4 linked regions of the Oryctolagus cuniculus genome follow. The protein of the gene in region 4 purifies or fractionates together with the protein of the main gene of each other region. This does not show direct contact. Links are inferred from orthologs where the notes say so. Each region holds a gene or a part of one and is shown on either strand. Other genes may lie near its edges. The genes, in order: EIF3H, EIF4G3, EIF4G1 and EIF4A2.

The links.
Region 1: the proteins of EIF4A2 (region 4) and EIF3H purify together in Homo sapiens (affinity purification with mass spectrometry; 3 studies listed by BioGRID and IntAct, with this or other methods). This does not show direct contact. The link is inferred for Oryctolagus cuniculus from reciprocal best matches to the Homo sapiens genes EIF4A2 and EIF3H.
Region 2: the proteins of EIF4A2 (region 4) and EIF4G3 purify together in Homo sapiens (affinity purification with mass spectrometry; 3 studies listed by BioGRID and IntAct, with this or other methods). This does not show direct contact. The link is inferred for Oryctolagus cuniculus from reciprocal best matches to the Homo sapiens genes EIF4A2 and EIF4G3.
Region 3: the proteins of EIF4A2 (region 4) and EIF4G1 purify together in Homo sapiens (affinity purification with mass spectrometry; 6 studies listed by BioGRID and IntAct, with this or other methods). This does not show direct contact. The link is inferred for Oryctolagus cuniculus from reciprocal best matches to the Homo sapiens genes EIF4A2 and EIF4G1.

What each region holds. Positions count from the first base shown.
Region 1 is NC_091437.1:142,342,585-142,348,214, forward strand, and holds part of EIF3H (eukaryotic translation initiation factor 3 subunit H), read right to left. Parts: intron 2,749-5,630; coding exon 2,592-2,748; intron 1-2,591.
Region 2 is NC_091438.1:149,925,336-149,930,965, reverse strand, and holds part of EIF4G3 (eukaryotic translation initiation factor 4 gamma 3), read right to left. Parts: intron 5,542-5,630; coding exon 5,395-5,541; intron 5,036-5,394; coding exon 4,799-5,035; intron 3,530-4,798; coding exon 3,425-3,529; intron 96-3,424; coding exon 1-95. UniProt on the Homo sapiens protein: Component of the protein complex eIF4F, which is involved in the recognition of the mRNA cap, ATP-dependent unwinding of 5'-terminal secondary structure and recruitment of mRNA to the ribosome. Functional homolog of EIF4G1.
Region 3 is NC_091435.1:93,904,276-93,909,905, reverse strand, and holds part of EIF4G1 (eukaryotic translation initiation factor 4 gamma 1), read right to left. Parts: intron 3,197-5,630; coding exon 3,098-3,196; intron 2,984-3,097; coding exon 2,849-2,983; intron 2,739-2,848; coding exon 2,657-2,738; intron 2,543-2,656; coding exon 2,402-2,542; intron 102-2,401; coding exon 1-101.
Region 4 is NC_091435.1:96,443,899-96,449,957, reverse strand, and holds the start of EIF4A2 (eukaryotic initiation factor 4A-II), read right to left. Parts: upstream 3,921-6,059; 5' UTR 3,522-3,920; coding exon 3,493-3,521; exon of another isoform or gene 3,429-3,492; intron 2,737-3,428; coding exon 2,691-2,736; intron 2,601-2,690; coding exon 2,468-2,600; intron 2,352-2,467; exon of another isoform or gene 2,284-2,351; intron 2,183-2,283; coding exon 2,043-2,182; intron 1,263-2,042; coding exon 1,094-1,262; intron 1,013-1,093; coding exon 903-1,012; intron 657-902; coding exon 513-656; intron 477-512; exon of another isoform or gene 299-476; intron 218-298; coding exon 80-217; intron 43-79; exon of another isoform or gene 1-42. UniProt on the Homo sapiens protein: ATP-dependent RNA helicase which is a subunit of the eIF4F complex involved in cap recognition and is required for mRNA binding to ribosome.

The sequences.
Region 1 (5,630 bases), on a different chromosome or scaffold from region 4:
AGACATATCTGAGAGGGGAATCTTAGAAGAAATCCCTCGTATACTAAGGGACAACTATGTCCAGAAAGATATTCAACATCAATAATCATCAGAAAAAGACCAAACAAAACCTCAGAGAGATACCAGCTCATTCCATTAAGATGACCATTATCAAAACCACAAGAAATAACGAGTATTTCTGAGCATGCTGAAAATATGGGATCCTTGTGCATGGTTAGGTAGGAACAGAGCAAAATGGTACAGCTACTATGGAAAACAGTTTAGAAGTACCTCAGAAAATTAAAAAGAGAATTACTATATAATCCAACAATACTACTTCTGGGACCAGTGCTGTGGCATACCAGGTAGAGCCGCCACCTGCAGTGCTGGTATCCCATGTGGGTGCCAGTTCGAGTCCCAGCTGCTCCACTTCTGATCTAGCTCTCTGCTAGGGCCTGGGAAAGCAGTAGAAGATGGCCCAAGTCGTTGGGCCCCTGCACCCATGTGGGAGACCCAGAAGAAGCTCCTGGCTTCGGATCAGCACAGCTCTGGCAATTGTGGCCAAGTGGGGAGTTAACCAGCAGATGCAAGACCTCTCTGTCTGTCTGTCTGTCTCTCTCTCTCTCTGCCTCTCCTTCTCTCTCTGTGTAGCTCTTTCAAGTAAATAAATAAATCTTAAAAAAAAAAAAATACTACTTCTGAGTAAATATCCAAAAGACTTAAAAACAGGATTTCATAGAGTGTGAATACCATGTTCACTGAATTATTACAACACTTATAAGGTGTTAGCAACCTAAATGTCCAACAACAGACAAATAAAGAAAATATGATATACACATACAATGGATTAATCAGTCTTAAATAAAAGGAAATCGTATCACATGCCACAACATGGATGAACACTGAGGATATTACACTAATAAGCCAGTCACACACACAAAAAAAGGACAAACGCTGTACAATTCCACTTATATGAGCTATTGAAAGTAGACAAACTTAAACAGAAAAAAAAAATGGTGCCTGGTGCTTTTCACCACAATAAAGTCTTGAAGATTCAAACAACTGATAAATTATTTTCAACTAGATTTTAAAATAATCTCATAAAATGTATGCCTTTGGTGTGAGCTTTTAATTACTAGAGGCCTCTGCTGACACAACAATGACTAACTGCAGTAGAGAAACAAATGCTTCTGAAATGCTTGAGAATATTCTTTATGAAGCAGACAGCTGAACTCATCTCTTCTAAAACACTGGGGAGGGGCCAGCATTGTGGCACAACAGGGTAAGTGGCCATCTGCAATGCAAGCATACAATATGAGTGCCAGTTCAAGTCCTGGCTGCTCCATTTCTGATCAAGCTCCCTGTTGATGTGCCTGGAAAAGCAGAAGATGGCCCAAGTGTTCAGGCCCCTTACATGGAAGACCTGGATGGAGTTCCAGGCTTCTGGCTTTGGCCTGGCAAGGCACCAGCCATTGCAGCCATTTAGGGGAGTGAATCAGCAGACAGAAGGTATCTCTTGATAACTCTAAGTAATTCCGTTTCAAATAAATCAATCTTAAAAACACTGGGTGATTCAAAATTGGAGAGAAGAGAATGGATGCTGTATACATAATGATGGGTCCATGTTCTTCACACTTTGGCAAGCTGACTTCATAATGAAAAAGTGAGCATCAGTACAACCTCTATCCAACAACCCCACCTTGTCCATGGTTTTGCTTTCTGAGGTTTCAGTTACCTTCAGTCAACTGTGGTCCAAAAATATTAAATCGGAAAAATTCCAGAAAGAAAAAATATACAAGTGGTAAATAACTTTTATTATAGTATTGTACTATAATTACTCTATTTTATTATTAGTTACTGTTGTTAGTCTCTTACTATGCCTGATTTATATGTCAAACTTTATCATCGATAAATTAAATAAGTTTATATAATTTGGGGCAGGTATTGTAGCACAGCGGGTTAAAGCCCTGGCCTGAAGTGCTGGCATGCCATATGGGCTCTGGTTCTAGTCCCAGCTGCTCCTCTTCCAATCCAGCTCTCAGCTAGGGCCTGGGATAGCAGAAGATGGCCCAAGTCCTTGGGCCCCTGCACCCACATGGGACACCCAGAAGAAGCTACTGGCTCCTGGCTTCAGATAGGGACAGCTCCGGCCACTGCAGCCATTTGGGGAGTGAAACCAGCGCATAGAAGACTTCTCTCTCTCTCTCTAACTCTTTCAAATAAATAAAATAAATCTTAAAAAAAAAAAGTTTATATAATTTATAAACTGTATTACCGATGTGCTTAAAGGGAAAAACACATGAGTACATTTAGGATTCAGTCCTATCCATAGTTTCAGACACTCACTGGGGTATTAGAATATAACCTCTTCAGATAATAAGGGTAACTGCTGTACTACATATCAGAATCACAAATCCCAAATAGGCAAAGGTCAAACTGATGAAATTTATGATATAATCTTCATTTCCCAAAATTTATGTAACTTTTCCAAGAAGCTCAGAAATCAAATGAATGAGGCTAGCCTGGTAACAAATGGTCAAAGTTTACAGTGAGATTGATACTACTACACATTTGTATGCACTGCAGAAAACACATGAGATGAAAACCCTTACCTTCATCAAAGTCGGCATCATCCTCCGTGTGCTGGGGGAAAGGAAAGCAGTTGGTGATTTCAAGCCGATCTTCTACAACCAGTCCTAAAAGCACTCCTTGAACAACCTCAGTTCCTTGACCTTCTTCTTGATAATGTTTTATTATCTTTAATACCACCTAAAAGAAATACAGAAAGGGGCTTAAAAATCATTCTCCTTTTATATCCTTTATTTCTAAGAAAAACAGGTAAGCAATTATTAGCGGATTTGCAAAAACACAAAACTACATAGGATTAAACAAATGCCTTACAAACCATTTCCTTTACCGTTATATAATAATAAAGCTCCCATAATCTAAAAGTAAATATGAAACTCCCGGAGTCTGAAGATATACCAAAAATATCTGTGTACTACACTCACAATCCCTAACTCAACACTCCCCAAAGAGTCTAGTATCCAGGCGTTCCTTCAGGCAAATCAAACAACACCTCCTTCAGCCTGAGGTATCACTGGGAAAGTTATCCTATTAACAGGAAGGTAACTTCTTTTTTTAAAGATTTATTTTTATTTTTTGAAAGACAGTGTTACAGAGAGAGGTCTTCCATCCATTGATTCACTCCCCAGATGGCCACAACGGCCAGAGCTGAACCAATCTGATGTCAGGAGCCAGGAGCTTCTTCCGGGTGTCCCACATGGTGCAGGGGCCCAAATTCGGGCTATCTTCTAGTGCTTTCCCAGGCCACAGCAGGGAGCTGGATCAGAAGAGGAGCAGCTGGGACTATAGAACCGGTGCACATATGGCATGCCGGCACTTCAGGCCAGGGCTTTAACCCACTGTGCCACAGCACCAGCCCCCAGGAAGGTAACTTCTTGATATGGATGATAAAATCCAGTCATTTGCAACAAAATGAAAGAATCTGGAAAACATCATGCTGAGTGAAAAAAGCCAGTCCCAAAGGAACAAATATATGTTCTCCCTGATAGGTTACAACTAACTGAGCACCTAAAAAGAAATCTGTAGAAATGAAACTGACACTATGAGAAGCAATGACTTGATCAGCCCTTGTCCCGACTGTCAAGGAACAGCTTACTATTTTATTCTTTTTAGTATTTTCTTTTTCTACTTAATACCACTGGTTGAACTCTTCACTTAACACAGAATTATTCTTAGGTGTTTAAATCCAATTGAAAATTGGTCCCTGTTAAAAAGAAGAGTGGAAACAAGAGAGCAAGGAGATGTACAGTTCAGCACACATTCCCTCAGACTTACCCCTAAAGGTAAAGCTAAAAACTTGCCGTTGGACTCCAAATCCCATTAAGTTGGCAGGTACCAATGTCATCTTACAACTTAAAGTGATCAGTTTAAGTTCATAACTGATCATAAAGACAGAAATAAGTTTCAAAGGGATCACATAAATAAGACCAAGTGTCTGCTAATAATAATAGATAGAATTAAAAAGGAGAGAACAATCCAACATGGGAAGCAGGCCACATAACAGACTCATAGAATGACAAACACCCTAAACAGCACTGTGGCCTCAGAATCAGCCCTTAAGGCATTCTGGTCTGGCTAAAAAGCCCATGAGAGCATTACAGGCATGGAAAGCCAAGACACTGTGGCAAAAAATGACCTACATGAAAGATCTCCGTGAGATCTCAGTGAAAAGAAGGAGGAGAGAACTTCCACTTTGATTATGGCCCTGTTTAAATAATGTCAGAGTTTGTGGACTCAAGAGGCTTCCATAGCCTTGGTAGCTCATGACAAGAGCCTTGGGTGATCACTGACATCATAAATAAGAGTGTCAATTGTTAAATCAACAACAGGAGTCACTGTGCACTTGCTCCCCATGTAAGACATCTGTTCTTAATGAGTTGTACTATGAGAATTAACGGTAAATCTAGTCTTCAAACAGTACTTTATACTTTGTGTGTCTGTGTGGGTGCAAACTATTGAAATCTTTTTAGTATAGAGCTGGTCTTCTGCATATAAAGGTAATTATAAATCTTAATGACGAATGGGATGAGAGAGGGAGTAGGAGGTAGGATAGTATAGGGGGGAGGGCAGGTATGGGGGGAAGAACTGCTATAATCTAAAAGTTGTACCTATGCAATTTGTACTTATTAAATAAAAGCTCTCTCTATAAAAAAATTTTCAGATTTTGAATAGCAAGACAAATTATGATCCAGAGGAGCATGCCCAGTCATACATTCACTAGGAAGGCCTGGGTATTAGCCCATATCCAATTTGCTATATTAAACACTCTTTATAGGTTAAAAAAAAAAAAGAGAGAGAGAGAGAGAGAGAAAGAAAAAAAAAAACCTGGTATCCAGTACTGCCTAATTTTCCTCAACCAGAGAGATACACTGAATAATCGCTACTGGAATAAACAACTCTTGTTTGACTGTCTTCTTTAAGACTGACACAAAGGGGCCGGCACTGTGGAGCAGCGAGTTAAAGCCCTGGCCTGAAGCACTGTCATCCTATAAGGGAACCTGTTCTAGTCTCTGCTGCTCCTCTTCTGATCCAGCTCTCTGCTGTGGCCCGGGAAAGCAGAAGATGGCCCAAGGCCTTGGGCCCCTGCACCCACCTGGGAGACCCAGAAGAAGCTCTTGGCTCCTGACTACAGATTGGCTCAACTCCGGCCACTGCAGCCACTTGGGGAGTGAACCAGCATCAGATGAGGACCTCTGTCTCTACCTCTCTCCATAACTCTTTCAAATAAATAAAAATCTTTTTTAAAAAAATATTCACACAAAGACAAAGGAGACACTACAGTGTATGACTGCATAGACAGTTAATGTCAAAGTTCATGGTAACCATTCCTAATAATTCTTACAACATAGGATTGTTACTATATGGAAAGTGCTTTGACTACTGCTCAGCACCTACTTGTTAACAATAGTGATGTTTAACATAAGCCCATGACCTGAAGACCTAAATAGCAACACAGCCTAAAATGCAAGAAGTTCTCACAGAGAAATTAAGCCTAACAACAAAATAACAAATTATTAGTACTTTATTGATTAGTGTTCATCCCAAATACATTAACAGGAATAGTA
Region 2 (5,630 bases), on a different chromosome or scaffold from region 4:
TTCCTCTGTTCCTCTTGTTCTTCTATTTTAGCTTCTTTGTGAATCTGCTCAATAGTTTTAGGCCCTTGATCTGCTCTTCGAGACACCCAATTACACTAGAAAAGTGAAAAATCAGGTTATCAGCCAGATGCTGAAAATAAAAATAAAATTAAATTATAAGTTTTTAATTTTCACTGCTAGAAAAGTATAAACTACCTACAAAATCTGAGATTATGGCAGTTTTCCATCTGTCATGTGGATGGCACTGTGTACAGTATGGTAATTAGAGTTAAGAATTAAATTCTTCTCAATCAACCCTGACCAACTTAACTGTACAATGCACATTCCAACAGCAAATGGACAGACTGGCCCAAATGTATTTTATCATTATTCTGCACATTTGAAAGGAGGAGAGGGAAGAGGAGTCAAGAAGGACAAGGGTTCCTTGGCATTGCCTTAATCTAGGGGTTCTATTAGTTCATATCACACTCCATAGGGAGTCTAATTAGAAGATGACTAGCATTCTTCTTCCTCCAATATCAGGGTTCTGGATCCTGCACAAAGTGTCACACCATTGTGCCCTTTGGTTATCCCCTCTACTAAGGCCAAAAGTTGCCTCTTCATACTTTCCTGTTCCATTTCCTAATGTTCTAACATCTGATACAAGTAAAAGGAGCTGAAGGCATGGGTGGGGAAGTATTTTCTACTTATTAGACAGAGGCAAGGATGGCAAACAGATTTAAACCAGTATGCAGGCCGGTGCCACAGCTCAACAGGCTAATCCTCCGCCTAGTGGCGCCGGCACACCGGGTTCTAGTCCCGGTCGGGGCACCGGATTCTGTCCTGGTTGCCCCTCTTCCAGGCCAGCTCTCTGCTGTGGCCAGGGAGTGCAGTGGAGGATGGCCCAGGTGCTTGGGCCCTGCACCCCATGGGAGACCAGGAGAAGCACCTGGCTCCTGCCTTCGGATCAGCGCGGTGTGCCGGCTGCGGTGGTCATTGGAGGGTGAACCAACGGCAAAGGAAGACCTTTCTCTCTCTCTCTCTCTCTGACTGTTCACTCTGTCAAAAAAAAAAAAAAAAAAAAACCACACCAGTATGCAAGTGGCTTTGGTAATAGGAGAGATCCCAACGCCATGCCGGGGCTTTAGCAAAACAGAGAACCATCACCAGTGCTGGATTCAGACAGGAAAGAGGTGTGCCCCGCATTTACTTTCTCTCCTTGGGCTGGCTGCACTATATTCCCTACAGGAGTTAACTAAGAGAAGAAATCAGGCTACAGTGATAAACACTGTATGTGGTATAAGAAGAGAAAAACATTATTATAGAATAAGAGGGTTTATAGGAAAAACAATAGAGCAGAAAACATCAACATGTGGGCACTTTCCATAATGATCTCGCTGAATCTTTACAACAAATCTGCAAGGCAGACAACATCCCCATTTTACAGATTAAAAGTGTAAGGCTCAGCAAAGTCAAACATTCATTGTGAAGATCAGACTGATCATTTAGCTCACGAAAACTAAATTTAATTGACCACAGTCTGAATTCAGAACTGCTTATTTCAAAACTGCAATGTAGTCTGATAATCAAAGTAAGGAGTAGAAACACGCAACAATTAAGAGGTTCCTAACTCTCTCAGGAATACACCAGTTCAAGATCAGAGAGTATTGAAGCAAAATCATTAATTTTATTTATTTGTTTATTTATTTTAAAGACACATTTTATGTATTTCAAAGGCAGAGTGGCAAAGAATCTTCCATCCATTGGTTCACTCCCCAAATGATCACAAATGGGACTGGGCCAGGCTGAATCCCTGAGCCCAGAACTCCATCTGGGATTCCCACATGGGAGGCAGTCCCAAGTTCTTTGGTCATCCTCTGCTGCTTTCCCAGGTGCATTAGCAGGGAGCTGGACGGGAAGCAAAGCAGCCAGGACTCAAACCAGTGCTCTGACACAGGATGCTGGTGTTGCAGGTGGCAACCTAGTCTACTGCACTGCAACACCAGTCAGAAGCATTTTTTTTTTTTTTAAGATTTATTTATTTGAAAGGCAGAGACACAGAGGGAGATATCTTCTATCTGTTAGCCCACTCTCCAAGTAGCTGCCAACAACCTGGGCTGAGCCAGCCTGAAGTTAGGAGCCAGGAGCTTCCTCTGGGTTTCAGAGAGAGAGGGAAAGACACACTGAGAGAGGTTTTCCATCTGCTGGTTTACTTCCCAAACGGCCACTATGGCTTGCACTAGGCCAGGCTGAAGCCAGGAAACAGGAGCTTCATCTGGGTCTCCCATGTGGGTGGCAGGGACCCAAGAACTTAGGTCATCCTCCACTGTGGGGAGCAACTCGGACTAGACTATTACTGGAATTAAGACTTATTCTATGCATCTGTTCTCCCACAATATGGCGCTGAGAAGGGAGTAACAACTTCTACGCAGCTGCCTCTCGCCAACTTGAGTGATGACCTGCAGGAGCTGATCCTGCTCCTGATTGGAGGAGAGCAGCGTACTCGGCATGTGGGTAGCAGAGTTGGGATTGGTGGAAGAGGACTATAAAGGAGGAGAGAGACAACATGCACCAGGAACACCTGAGGAACATCTGAGCAGCCCCTGAGAGAGCCGGCCGGCGGTGTGCCGCTCCCCCGCGGAAGTGGGGAAAGTGGCAGGGGGGACCGCCCTTCCACGGAGGTGGAAGGGTCAGTAGCCAACCCGGGAAGAACCAGCAGCAAACCCGGGGAGGGCCGAGCAGACAAAAGAACAGCGCAGGGTCCTGTGTCGTTCCTCCATGAAGAGGGGGAGCGACATAATGGTGCCGTGACTCGGATATGAAGCCTAGGCAGGGTTTAGTGTCGTTCCTCCACGAAGAGGGGGAGCGACACTCCACTGCTTTCTGAAGTGCATTAGCAGGGAGCAGGTTCGGAAGTGGAGCAGCCAGGACTCGAAACAGGTGCCCTTATGGGATGCCGGTGCTGTAAACTGTGCTTTTAACCTGCTACACCACAGCACCAGCCCCAACCATAAGTTTTTTTTTTGAAAATATTTTATTTATTTATTGAAGAGGCAGATTTATAGATAGTGAGAGGGAGAGACAGAAAGAAAGGTCTTCCAGCCATTGGTTCACTCCCCAAAATGACCACAATGGCTTATCTGAAGCCAGGAGCCAGAATCTTCTTTCAGGTCTCCAACATGAGTGCAGGGGCCCAAGCACTTGGGCCATCTTCCAGTGCTTTCCCAGGCCACAGCAGAGAGATGGATCGGAAGAGGAGCAGCCAGGACTAGAACTGGCGCCCATATGGGATGCCGGCACCACAGGCAGTGGTTTTACCCTCTACACCACAGCACTGGCACCAGCATTAAGTTTTTATACATGTTAACGTTAGGACATCCTTCTCCTATTCAATTTATTAAAATAATTTAGACTAGTAGTATATTTCCTTTTCTTTCCTACTTACCAGCCTTAGGTCTATCACATCTTGAAGCATGAATCGAATTCTAGATGAGGTTTTTCTTTCTTTCACAATTTTTTCCATCTGATTAAAGTACTGGTCCATACGTGGCTACAAGAAACAAGATCATTAGTATTTCTGGCTAAAGAATTCAAATGTAATTTCATGATATAGATTTTTTTTCATTATAGAGAGCTTTTAAATGTTTAAGGAATAATATGACAGGATTTTTAATTGCCCATATGATTGCCCAAAGAAAAGATTACACTTTTCAGACTTTTGAGCAGGTGGCTTTTTTATGCTATTAATTATAGATCAGAATATAATGGAAATGCTATTTTGCAGCTCCCTGGAACCTTCCTTATGAGAGAGGTAGCTGTGTCCTTTGTCCCCCTTTTTTCCTACTTTTCCTGCTGAGAATTCTAAGGACTTAATGTTCTACCTTAGGAATGTGAAACAGTAAGCTACAAGGACTTATCTATGAACTTTGCTTATATAAGTGAAAAACTTCAATAATGTAGAAACTACAGGTACTTGGGATTTTCTGTCATAGCTAAACATAATTCTAGCTGACTCAAATGTTATGGAACAGTTCTGACATTATTTCTTTGAAGCACTTCTCATTTCCACAAACCTTACTTGGACAGTACTATGTTATGTTTGAATTATAGTATTTTTGGTGAATTCTTATATTATGGTTAGCTAGATGGGCCATTAATCAGAGCATAAACTTGAAGAAAACCAGGGGCCAGCATTGTGGCATAGCTGGATAAGCTGTAGCTGGCAGTGCTAGCATCCTATAAGGTTCAAGTCCTGGCTGCTCCACTTCTGATACAGCTCCCTGATAATGCAACTGGGAAAGAAGCAGAGAATGGCCCAAGGGCTTGGGTCCCTGCACCCACGTGGGAGACCTGGAAGATGCTGCTGGCTCTTGGCTTCAGCCTGGCTCAGACATGGCCATTGCAGCCATTTGGGGAGTGAACCAGCAGATGGAAGACCAATCTCTATCTAAAATAATATAAATCTTCAAAAAAAAGTGAACTACTGGGTTTTCCACATTTCTGTACCACCCTAGAGCCTGACACATAGTAGCTTTTCTTTTTTTTATTTCAGCTTAAAACTTGCTGTACAAATAAATGACCTATGAAATAGTTACGGAGGAAGAAAAGAGACAAGTGACAAATAATGTGAACAATCTACAAATTGTCTTCTGTATAATTTGGAACCTGCTCCTCTATGACTCTAATGCAAATGTGGCAGGGAACATGCTGGCCAAAAACTGATGATTAGATAGACAAAGGGAAATTAACAGCCTCAGCTGTGGGGGTGAGAGAGTATTTTGCAACCCAGAGCCTCTGTGGAAAGTTTCTGAATTTTTACCTTTGCTTTCTCAAAGTCCAAGTCTTTGCCAATGGTGGTGAGCAGGCGACACAGACACTCCAGGGATTCCTCATCGTGGTTCTTTAGCAGTTTCACCACACAGTCGTGCATGATGGCTTCAGTCAGCATTTTGAGTTTAAAGAGTTCTCCAATAAACTTGATGTTACCAATGGATCTCCGTCGGGCTTTGTCCTTGGCTTCTTCCAGTTCATCATGAAGCCTTGTCCTCTCCTCTGGCTGTCGTGTGAGAAGGAGTAAGAGCATCTTAATGAAAAGTTGTATGCCTCACGATCCTTACTCGTTCTGAGCGTCAGATGCCCTGTGAGGATCTGACAGCGACTGGGGACTTACTTTTCAAAACACGAACTACACCCACAAAGACCTCCTGCATTTCAGATCTCCAGAACCCAACGCCCTCTCTCAAGTCTAGGTTTAGACTGAACGCTGCTGCGGAGAGCTGAGCTGCTCTGACATTCAGCACTAAGAGGAATAAAACAGAACCCCTTTAAGGAAGCGGGGAGATGCTGTACCCGGCCTCACGTGTCCTTGGAAGCACTCAACACGCGTGAACACTGTCTTTCTGATGATACACTTACAGCACTGGCAGCTTCAAGTTCTTTCTGCTTCTTCTCAAAGACATCATCATCTGCTTTATCTTTTTCAAATTCCTTCTGGCAACGGTTCAGCAATAATTTCCGAAAATTCACTGTGTTACCAGGCTTGTCTGCCATCGGTACTTTGAGCTGCACGCAGATAGGAAAACGTAAAAGCAGCAAGATTAAAGACATTCAAAATGTCTATTTTCATTATTGTGCAAAATAATGCTACTGAA
Region 3 (5,630 bases), about 2.5 Mb from region 4:
CTGCTGCTCAGCAGGATCCTTGCTACTCTCCCAGCTGTAGAACGCTTCCTCCTTCACCACGTCTTCGTCATACAGGGCATCAAAGAACATCCGAAGCAGGTCTGAAAGCAGGCAGGACAGCAGTTAAGAGTCACATGGTCACAGCCACATCGGCCTGCCCCCAGGGTCCCTCCCAAGCTCCAGGGTTAAAACAAGACCCTCACCCACCAGCCTGTCATTTGTGTCTGACCAGTCCAGAGTGACTAGGTCTGACAGGACGTTAATCTCATGGTCGAAGAGATTGGTGTGCAGGAATGAGTCACTCAGCCATTGGAAAAAAAAAAAACATGAACTCGCCTAGCCTCACCTTGGCAGCTTCTAATTTCTCCACTCAAGATATCTTTAATGGGGAAAAATGCACAGAATTGATGCTCCTGATTTTGGGGAATCCAAGTCATAAATGTTGAGGGTATAATCTAGAACATTCACTGAGCCCCAAACATCTCAACAAAAACTCTTGGTCCCAATTCTTTGTTCCCATATACCCTTCTCTAGCCCTGGACGCATCTGCAGGTGCTACCCCCCTTGCCAGGACCATCCTCTCTCGTCACCTTCCTGGAATTCTTCAAGACTCAACCGGACACTCTGCGTCACTGTTCACCACCTCGCTGCGAGGCAGCCTTTCCCAAGCACTTGTCTTATCCCCTGAACACAACCTACCCGAGTCCCCACAATGAACTACCAGTCTTCCTAAACCAAACTGCACATTCCTAAAACCAGAGGGCAGTAGAGTAAGCGAAGTGAAACAGCACAGAACTACAGTCAGACCTGCCAAGTCCCTGACCGAGTCAGGACTCCACGAGGGCACTCTCCCCCTCCAATGCACACAGCTGGGCCCCCGCCACTCACCCCAGCCCCACCCCGGCCCAGACTCTGATCCCAGAAGAATGGCTCATCTTCCACTTGCCCCACAGTGGCACTCCCAATCCCAGGCACACCACCTTGTGGATCCTATACAATCAATGTCCACCCAGCCCTCTAACCAAACAAAGACTCTGTCTCATAACACTCAAGAAGATTGTCTATACTTGCTGTTTTCCATTCTTCTTGTTTTACTCAAGTATTTCTCAATCCTTTCCAATCCAGAGCCCTCCCCCGACCCCACCAAATAGTTTCTGCTGTGGTGGTCACCCCGATTTTAGATCCCAGAGCCCCTTAATTTTCAGTCATGTCCCTATGAACTTTAGGCGCATCTGGGACTTCCACTTTGTTCACAGGGCTCAGCCTTCCTCTGATCTCTACCTGTGTGTGCACCACCTCCACAGGATCCTATCCCCAGGCCTCACCACTTCCTCAGACAACCCCATTCCTTCCTCCTAGGCCTTGCACACCTAAACCTCTAAGAGCAACTCAGAGCTGCCCCCTGCCCTGCCCTCTTCCTCTTCCCAGATGGACCGACACCCAGCTACTGACATCTTGGCTCTTCTCACACAGCGAGCGCTGACAACTTGTTCCAGTGTTCCCGATCCCAGCACCACACCATTGTCTCACCTGCTGAAGCCATCCTGAGAGTCCTTCATGACTCCCAGTCTCTCACGGCCCCCTCCCCAGGCTGGTGTGACCAAGAGCTGCTAACCTCACTTCCAGAGTTATTTAACTCTGCCCACCGCTCCTCCCTCACCTCTACTGTCACCAGCCAGGCTGAGCCACCAGTGCCAGTCCTGCCACATTCACTTATACCACCCCAAACCCTTCTTCTCACTGTGGCAGGATGATCAAGATAGCAGTCCTACACAACACGGGCCCTGTCTCTCTCCAGCCCCATCCTGCGTTTGCTTAAAAGCTCCCTCCCTACTTCCCACTGGTCACTTGGCCAATTTCCTAGTCACCACTCCTGAGACTAGTGTGCTTGCAGACAGCACCCCCACCTCATCACTCCCCGTCAGCACGAGACCTGCAGCTGGCCTAGTCGCTGTGAGCACCCCAATGCCCTGATAACACACAGCTATTACTCAAGTGCATAACCTCACCCATGTAACCAAGATTCAGCCTCTCAATACAGAAAACAGGGGTAACACCATCTACCCTAAACAACCATGGTGACAACTAAATGAGGCAGGCAAGCTGAGCCTCCGGCCCTGTGCCAGACAGCCATGGCACATGGCAGCCCCTGACAGATGCTATCATGTTCTCACCTTTACTGCTGCTATCTAACAGATACTAAGCACAAAGCAGTCAGTCCATTAACCTTCAAGGCTAAGTCCAACTTCCTCCATTTGTAGACAGAGAAATAAAGTTAGGGAGAAGGCACCAAACCATCAGGGCACTATCAGCCTTTCGCGGACTGAGACCCTTCCCTGACTACTCTCTGCTCTCCAGTGGTCCCTCCAGCCCACCCCCATCCCCGAGGCCTGGCTCTTACTGGCGGGCTGTTCTAAGGTCACTACAAGGGCCTGGAGGGCATAGAGTGCTTGCAGCTCCTTCTGCTCATCACACAGGTATTTCTGTAGCAGTTTCGCTCGCGCTTTCAGCACTGCGACATCCACGCGGAGGGGAGTCTCAACTGCAGGAAAGAAGACAGGGGCAAGTGAAATAATAGTTCATAAGCTGTTTCAGACCTAGGAGGCAAAGGCTGAACCCCTCACCCTGCTCCCACCACCTCCCTGGCTCCTCTTACAGATAATTGCCGAATAGCAGACAGCCGTCATGAGGGCTCGAACTAATGTGTTGGATGCTATCTGCTGCTCACTCAGGTTGGCCTGCACAAGAGACACATGGTCCACAGGTTGAAAATCAGGCCCAAGGTCCACTCCTGCACCCCCAAACTTCACTCTAAGAAAACCCTCCCGCTCATCCCCCCACCTCACACCTCTATCCAGTCGAACACTCGCTGGTTACTGCTGCCCTCCTTCAGCAGCTTCTCCAGCTGCCTGCTCAGCTCCTCAGAGGACAGTGCCCTCTGGCCAGGGGCTTCGGACTCCTCTCCCAGGGTATACTCCACCTTCTGCAATCAAAAAGACCCAGTCAACAGGTCCCCTGTGCCACCTGAGAGATGAAGGCAGAGGGAGAAGACTGGCCAGGCCCAGAAGCTAAAATTAACCTAACTCCAGCCCCAAACCTGTTCAGTGATGAATGCACCGACATCCTGGCCTTCAGGCAGAAATTCTTTCCAGCTGAGCCCAGCCTCACGCCACAATATGCCCACTTTTTTGGGGCCCTGGAAAAATACAAGACCAGTTCAGCCACCCCGTCTCTCCAAGGACCAAACAGCTCCACAACAATCATCCAGCAGGTACTCACTGAAAGCCCACTAGGTACCTGCTGGAAGCTAAGGACGGCAGAGGTACCCCATAGACACAACCCTTCCACGCCCTGAAGTCCAGTGCAGGGCAGACATCAGATACCCACACAGATAAACAGGAACTCGTCTACCACAGTACTGCCAGTAGGATGAGGGAAAGGCCCTCAAAACCGTGAACAAGCAAATGCAAATACCCTCCTCCCTCCTAGTCTTCCAACGTCACCAGAAAGTCTCAAAAGCAGATACACCCTCACCCCCACAACACAAACCAGAAATTCCCACAAAAACAGTAATGCAGGGCTGGCCCTGTGGCACTCGTGGGTTAAGCCGTGCTTGCAATGACAGCATCCCATCCCAGAGCACTGGTTCAAGTCCTGGCCACTCAGCTTCCCTTCCAGTTCCCTACAAATGAGGCTAGAAAAGCAGTGAATGATGGTCCAAGTACCTGGGACTCTGCCAGCCACGTGAGAAACCAGGATGGAGGTACGGGCTCCCGGCTTTAGCCTGGCTATTGTGGCTTTTTGGGGAGTGAACCAGCAGATGAAGAGATCCTTCCCTTCCTCCTTCCTTCCCTCCCTCTCTCTCCATGTGCGCGCACGTGTGTGTGTAACTCTTTAAAATAAATAAGTAAATCTTAAATAGCAGCCTGAGCCCATTTTCTTTAAGGAGCAAGAGACCCCACAGGTATCACTTTTTTTTTTTTTTTTTTTGACAGGCAGAGTGGACAGTGAGAGAGAGAGACAGAGAGAAAGGTCTTCCTTTTGCCGTTGGTTCACCCTCCAATGGGCGCTGCGGCCGGCGCACCGCGCTGATCCAATGGCAGGAGCCAGGTGCTTCTCCTGGTCTCCCATGGGGTGCAGGGCCCAAGCACCTGGGCCATCCTCCACTGCACTCCCTGGCCACAGCAGAGGGCTGGCCTGGAAGAGGGGCAACTGGGACAGAATCCGGCGCCCCGACCGGGACTAGAACCCGGTGCGCCGGCGCCGCTAGGCGGAGGATTAGCCTAGTGAGCCGCAGCGCCGGCCGGTATCACTTTTATAACAAAAAATACGCAGAGTGATGATATTAGCTGTTAATTTCATGGGGCCGACGCTGTGGCACAGTAGGTTAATCCTCCGCCTGTTGCGGCAGCATCCCATATGGGCGCCCATTCTAGTCCCAGCTGCTTCTCTTCCAATCTAGCTCTTTTCTGTGGCCTGGTAAAGCAGTATAAGATAGCCCAAGTGCTTGGGCCCCTGCACCCACATGGGAGACCGGGAAGAAGCACCTGGCTCCTGGTTTCGGATTGGCGCAGCTCCGGACGTATTGGCCATTTGGGGAGTGAACCAACAAAAGGAAAACCTTTCTCTCTGTCTCTCCCTCTCACTGTCTCTAACTCTACCTCCAAAATAATTAAGTAAAATATTTAAAACAAAATTTCATGATTCTATTTTAAATGATTTCTTCATATTTTAAACACTGTAAGTAAGACACATCACAGCTGATACACTACTACATTTTAAAAATAAGACCATGAGTCTTTTTTCTTAGCAATGCATCAGTAAGAAATCTTCCAATCCACAGCACCTTAGATCAATGACATATGCTTCTTGACTTACAATGGGGCTACGTTTCAAAACAAAGCAACCAACCTGGGGTCAGCGCTGTGGCGTAGCAGGTAAAGCCACTGCCTGCAGTGCCTCCCATATGGGTGCCGGTTTGAGTCCCGGCTGCTCCACTTCCAATCCAGCTCTCTGCTATGGCCTGAGAAAGCAGCAGAAGATGGCCCAAGTACTTGGAACCCTGCACCTGCGTAGGAGACCCAGAGGAAGCTCCTGGCTTCAGATCGTCCCAGCTCCGGCCACTGTGGCCATCTGGGGAGTGAACCATTGGATGGAAGACCTCTTTCTCTCTCCCTGCCTCTTGTAACTCTGCCTTTCAAATAAGTACATTCTAAAAAAAAAAAAAAAAAAAAAAAGAACATTCTAAGTCAAAAATACCCTAAACTGAAAATGCACTCGATACCTTGAAAAACCTATCACAAAGCTGAAAAATCCTAAATTGAAACCCTCATAAATTAAGGACCGTAGGTACAGAAAGAGTATAATATGCTTATTTTATGAACAGAAACTGTCCTGGTACGTATGTTTACCTACCTAAAAGGACCATCTGACACTGAGAGAATAAGTCCTTTTAACCCAGTCTCTTTCCTGCAGGTACCAGAGAGGTATATTGTTTTGAAACTGCATGTTCCAGTTTCTCACAACCACACCCAAACAGCCTTTCCCCATCTTGCCACCTTTACACTCACCAATCAACTTTCATAAAGCAACTTCAGTGCCCTTCAAAGAAAGCCTTCTTGCATGAACAC
Region 4 (6,059 bases):
ACACAGCACTAAACAGCTATATTGTAGTCTGAATCCTGCTTCAATGTAAATACTGATGTTAAGTTAAAACACCTCTTACCAGAGCAGAAACTGTGAAGTCCCTGGCATGCATTTTCTCAGTGAGCCAGTCCACTTTGCGCCTTGTATTGAGAAAAATAACAGCCTGTGTAATGGTCAGTGTTTCATACAAGTCACAAAGTGTATCCAACTTCCATTCCTATGGGATTTCAAAGACAAAAGATTTCAAAGACAGTCAGTTCATTTTCAGTATGATCAGTCATGAAATTTACTCTCAAAAACATATTGCACCAAATTTTAAGACAAAGGACATTGGACATTAAGAAAGAGGTCCACCCCAGTCTTTACAATCTAGTGCAGTTACTCTTCTTCTTGTGTGTACTCTGCTAGCATTATTACAAAAACCAAGACATGGTCCTAGTTTCTGCAATTTTAGCACAGTGCTTATACAAGAAGGTTAAAGTGTACATTTTTATGTTTAACAGATAAATTACCTCTCTTTCAACATTAATATAGAACTGTTTGATTCCTTCAAGGGTCAATTCTTCCTTCTTAACCAGAATTCGAATTGGATCTCTCATGAATTTTTTGGTCACTTCTAACACATCAGTTGGCATCGTGGCAGAAAGCAACACAACCTTCAAAAGACAATGATGGCACTGTCATACCAGCTGGTAGCACAACTTTCACATTTCACATTAAGACACTAGAAAAACAGACCAAGTGTCTGTCCTACTATGAAATGGTAGGTAGACAGATAATTCTGCATCAAATGTTGTATAAGCAGGGGGAACAATAAAACACTTCAGTTATGTTCTAACTGCACCTGTGTTAAATCTAAAACTTTTGGTATCAGACTTAAAAGAACACTTTAGAACACTTACCTGAATACTGGTATTTAGTTTTTGAAAAATCTCATAGATTTGATCCTTAAACCCTCTGCTCAACATTTCATCTGCTTCATCCAAAACGAACATTTTGATCCATTTTGGAGCTATTAAAAAAAAAAGATCATTTGACTTCTTTCCTGCTACAACAGTTAATATGTAAAACTCTCCTAAGGGAGAATACTTACAAAGGTATCTTCTGTTTAACATATCAAATACTCTCCCTGGTGTACCAACAACGATATGTGGTGCTTCTGCCTGCAATTTTTGCATTTCATTCCTAACGTTTGTTCCACCAATGCAGGCATGACAAGTTGCTCCCATATAGTCTCCAAGTGCCAGAATTACCTTTTGGATCTAAAAGCCAAAATCGGTAATTATTATCCTGTAGGGCTGCAGTTTCTATGACTAACTGCCAAAGCATAATGGCAAGTTATCTGGTCTGCCAATAGCTTTTATGCATGCACAGCAAACTACTTCCAAGCTTAAAATGCAGACTAACTGCTTCAAGAATAAAATTCCCTGTCTTTCTTATGCCTCAAACTGATCCTCTTGCCCCAGATTATCTGCTAGGCAACTAAAAAAAAAAAAAAAAGGAAGCACATCCTATCTTATTCTTCATTATGTAGGAAAGGTGTAAATATTGATTAAATTCTGTTAATTACAGCTAGGACAAATGTTGGTCATTTTCCCCACAGGGAACTGTACCTTTTTATGATCTTGACCATAATAAAGCCTGTGGCTTTATTAGGAAGGTTTACTTCAAAGCCAATTTAACAGTAAGCTTTGAAAACATAGCATGCAACAGATGCATCACAAACTACTGAGACAGTCAAATGGTAACATGTCACTGCAGTTTTCATGTTGCACAACTGCACTTGAACGTAAGGAAAATGGATATAGGAATGGGGTATCCTGAACAGAAAGCTTCACAGCCTCAGTCTGGGGAGACAACCCTACACACAGTACCTAGACACCCAGTTCCTATGTAACCTCCAACAAAAACTCCCTGCATGCATGGACAATTAAGAGGGCTCTGACAGGACTAATTTACCCTAAATTTTAAATTCTTCACAGTTGTGAAACCTGAAACCTATGCAACACGCAAGCAGTTTTTTTGAACTACACTATCAATACCTGTTGAGCCAGTTCTCTGGTGGGGGCCAATACTAGTGCTTGGGTCTCCTTGAACTCAATCTCCAACTGTTGCAGGATGGAAATAGCAAATGTGGCTGTCTTGCCAGTACCTGACTGAGCTTGAGCAATCACATCATACCCTAAAAAAAGTAGGATACATATTTACCGATCCCACATCAAATTGTCACTTCTACTTCACACCATGTATTCCATTTGGAACATAAATTATGCCCCAATAATCAAGTGATCAGCAATGAGTATTCTGTCATTTCAGGTCAGTCCCGAAAGATGATTGCCATCATTTCACTTTAAGGAATACAAACAGGTGCTAGTCCCCCACAGGTTCCGCTCCCTTTTATGGTCCAGGTCTATCATTAACAGTGAATTCACTTTCTGTTTTTAAATGCTAGAGAGTTTTCTTTTACCTTTAATGCAAGGAATAATAGCTCTTTGCTGAATAGCTGAAGGCTTCTCAAAACCGTAAGCATAGATGCCCCGAAGAAGAGACTCCTTTAAATTCATATCATCAAAGTTATCAACAATCTCATTCCAGTTGCTCTGTTAAGTTTAAAAAGAAGTTAAATGGGATAAATGAGATGCGCGCGCACACACCTTTGCAAGGCTTCAAAATCCACACCCATTTCTCACCTCGATGACACCATCGGGGTCCATTCCCTCTGGGCCGCCATGTTCTCTGCGGGCAAGTACACAACAGCAGTTAAGACAGCTCCCAAGCCGCCGCCACCCGCCTCGCCTCGGGGCCTGCCCCTACGCTGCCCAGAGAGCAAACGCAGCCCGTGTGCGGGCCACGCAACGTCCCGGCATGTCTCCTGCGGGAGAGCCCCAACGCAGGCCCCGCCAACACCAGCCCCTTCCCCCCGGGCTCTCCCGTTTTGGCGACGAAGATCTCGCGAGAGCTCCACGCGCTGAGCTCCGCCCCTGACACTGCGCAAGCCGGGGTGATTGACGCGGCCGGGGCGGCCCGGCGAGGGCAATGCCAACGGTTCGCCCCCAGCCCCGGTGCCGGTCCAGTCCCGTCTCCTTCCGGGCACGGCGGAGTGGACCCCGCTGCCCCCACTGCCCTCAGGCTGAAGCCCGAGACCAACTCGCGCCGTTGACCGCAAAGAAAGCGTCGGCCCCTACCACCCCGTTCCGAATGCGGATTGGGCCACGGCTTTTATTTAAGATATGTACCGTGTTCCGCACGGCGAGGAGTGAAGGCCGAAATTTCTAGACGTCTTTGAAAGGGGAGACCACTCCAATTCCGTAACTCGCGTCCCCCTGCAGTCCTACCCATCATGGAAGCTTCTCGAAGGACTCGGGGGGGTATTTGTAGCCCACGAAAACACCCGTGAGCCTGTTGCTTCCTGCCCTCACAGCACTCACCACAGCCTCCCTGGGCGCCCTCTGACCTTCACCACAGAACACCACCGCCGAGAGGCCGCCATACCTGTTGTAGTCCGCAGAGCCACCAGACATGTCCGAACAGCCACTCAGCGCCCGACTGAAAAGACAGCAGCGCCGTGCCACCCGTTTTTTATAGGCTCGCGGCCGGAACCCGTTTTCCGCGGAGGAATATCGTCGCCGCGCTTTGGTTAGTCCCAAAATTAGAATCCTGGGGCCGTTCTCTCAGGAAAGATTCCTAAGGAAGTCAGTGGAAAAATTCACATGTCGTAATTTCTCGATATTACAGGGTTGCTGGAAATCCCAAAACCTGGAGGCGAACTAGGGCTCTTTGCGTGGCGGCGGAAGAATATTGCAGCAGCGGCGGCCGCACGCCGCGCTCCCCGCCCGCCCCGCCCGCCTGCTCCTACGGGGTTTCCGCGGCTCTGACGCAGAGGCCGAGCCGGGCGGCGGGCGGCCGGGAGCCGGAAGCCTGCGGCGCGCTGCGCGCTCGGTGGCCGGGCCGCGGTCGGCGGGCGGACTAGCGGCTCCTTGCCGGGGCTCGGCTCCTGCAGGGTCCCGGCGTCTTCGCTCTGCTCCGCAGGGCCAGGGTTCTTCTGCCATGTCCCGCGGTCAAGAGCCGCCCAGCAGTAAGCCCGACCGTTGGACATGCATTCAGATCTTTGGAGAGATTCCGACTAGGGAAAATGTCGGCCACCCAGCACGTCCCAGAAAATCCGGTTGGCCGGTGCATTTTGCAGAGCAAGGAAAAAAATCTTAGTGTCGTCGAGACTAATATCTGTGGTAGTAACTCCGTACTCCATCTCCACTGATCCTCTCTGGTAAAAAATCGTGCTGACGATTCTAACCTAACAGGTGTGAGGATCATTATAAACTTCTTTCAAATGATGAAAAAAAAAAAAAAGCTAAGGAACAGGAATTTTCCTTGCACTGAGGGAATGTAAAGCGGTGCTTCCGGAGGTACCGGTCTATACCTCTTTGGAACTAGATGCGTTTTGATTCCGGTCCGCATTGATCATTTTTAAAATGATTTTGAGTTTTAGTTGCCTGTGTATAGTGAAATGTTGATTTACTGAAATTCAGAGCAATACAGTCCTTGCTGCTGAAATAATCTGCATGATTCCTTAAACTCAAGACAAGTTCTCAACTAGCTGCAACGCAGGCCCCTTGGGTCGAAATAAAAACAATATATTTAATAATTTATTTGTAAAATACAATCCTATCTATAATCAAGATATGACTGCCTAGGAAGATGCTTTCTTGTCATTTCGGATCAACCTAGTCCCCGATTATTGGAGAAACTGACTCAGCTTTCTGTATTTTAGAAGGTACTTGATTCTAAATGCCACTTATTTCTTGTTCAAGACATCATCTATGTATTTGAAGATTATGGTTGTGCCGGGAACTGTGACAAAAATGAAGACTACCAAGGTGACAGCAGACCTGGTGTTCAGTCTGGTGCTGCTGCCACTTACCTGTCCCCCCGCGGTGTTCAGATCCGGAGTTGAAGTGATGCCAAGCATTTTTGGAGAATGATAGCACTTTAGAGACTACTGTAGTCTCATCTAAAAATCTAAAACTACCCTGGGACCTAAGAAACTGAAGAAAATATGAATTTAGAGAAGTGACTTGCCATTTAATTACACTTGAGTCTTAGGGTGAAATTAGTGGATGGTGGGGTGAAATCAATCAACAATTAACACCTAATTGTTGAGCGGCTCCTTCAGGGTTGTTACTATACTAGATGCTGAGGAGAGGAAATCGACAAGGGCTAACTCTATGAGTTAGGTCAGGAGTGCTGAGGGAGTTTCAAGTTAAGAACCCATAACGGAGTCACCATCCACACCTGCGGTGCCTGTAACCTTACAGTATAATTCTTTAAAAAAAAAAAAAAAGAAGATTTATTGATTTGAAAATCAGAGTTACACAGAGAGAGAAGGAGAAGCAGAGAAGTCTTCCATCCACTGGTTCATTCCCGCAGTTGGCTGCAATTGCTGGAGCTGTGCCGATCCGAAGCCAGGAGCCTCCCCGGGTCTCCCACATGGGTGCAAGGTCTTTGGGCCATCTTCTGCTTTTCCCAGGCCATAGCAGAGAGCTGGATTGCAAGTGGAGCAGCTGGGACTTGAACAAATGCCTATATGGGAATGCTGGCACTGCAGATGGCAGTTTTACCCACTACACCATAGCGCCAGCCCCATAAAATTTTTTCTACCCTTGGGGTTGGTACTATGGCACAGCAAGTTAACGCTCTGGCTTGAAGCACCAGCATCCCATATAGGCGCCAGTTTGAGACCTGGCTGCTCCACATCCAATCCAGCTCTCTGCTATGGCCTGGGAGAGCAGTGTAAGATGGCCCAAGTCCTTGGGCCCCTGCACCCACATGGGAGACCCGGAAGAAGCTCCTGGCTCCTGGCTTGGATTGGCGTAGCTCCTACCATTGCAGCCATCTGGGGAGTGAACCAGCAGATAGAAGACCTCTCTCTCTTTCTCCCTGCCTCTCATCTCTCTGTGTAACTCTGACTTGCAAATAAATAAATAAATCTTTAAAAAAATTTTTTTTTCTACCCTTCTGGAGAAAGACTAAAATAAAAGTACATTACCATACTTCAAAGC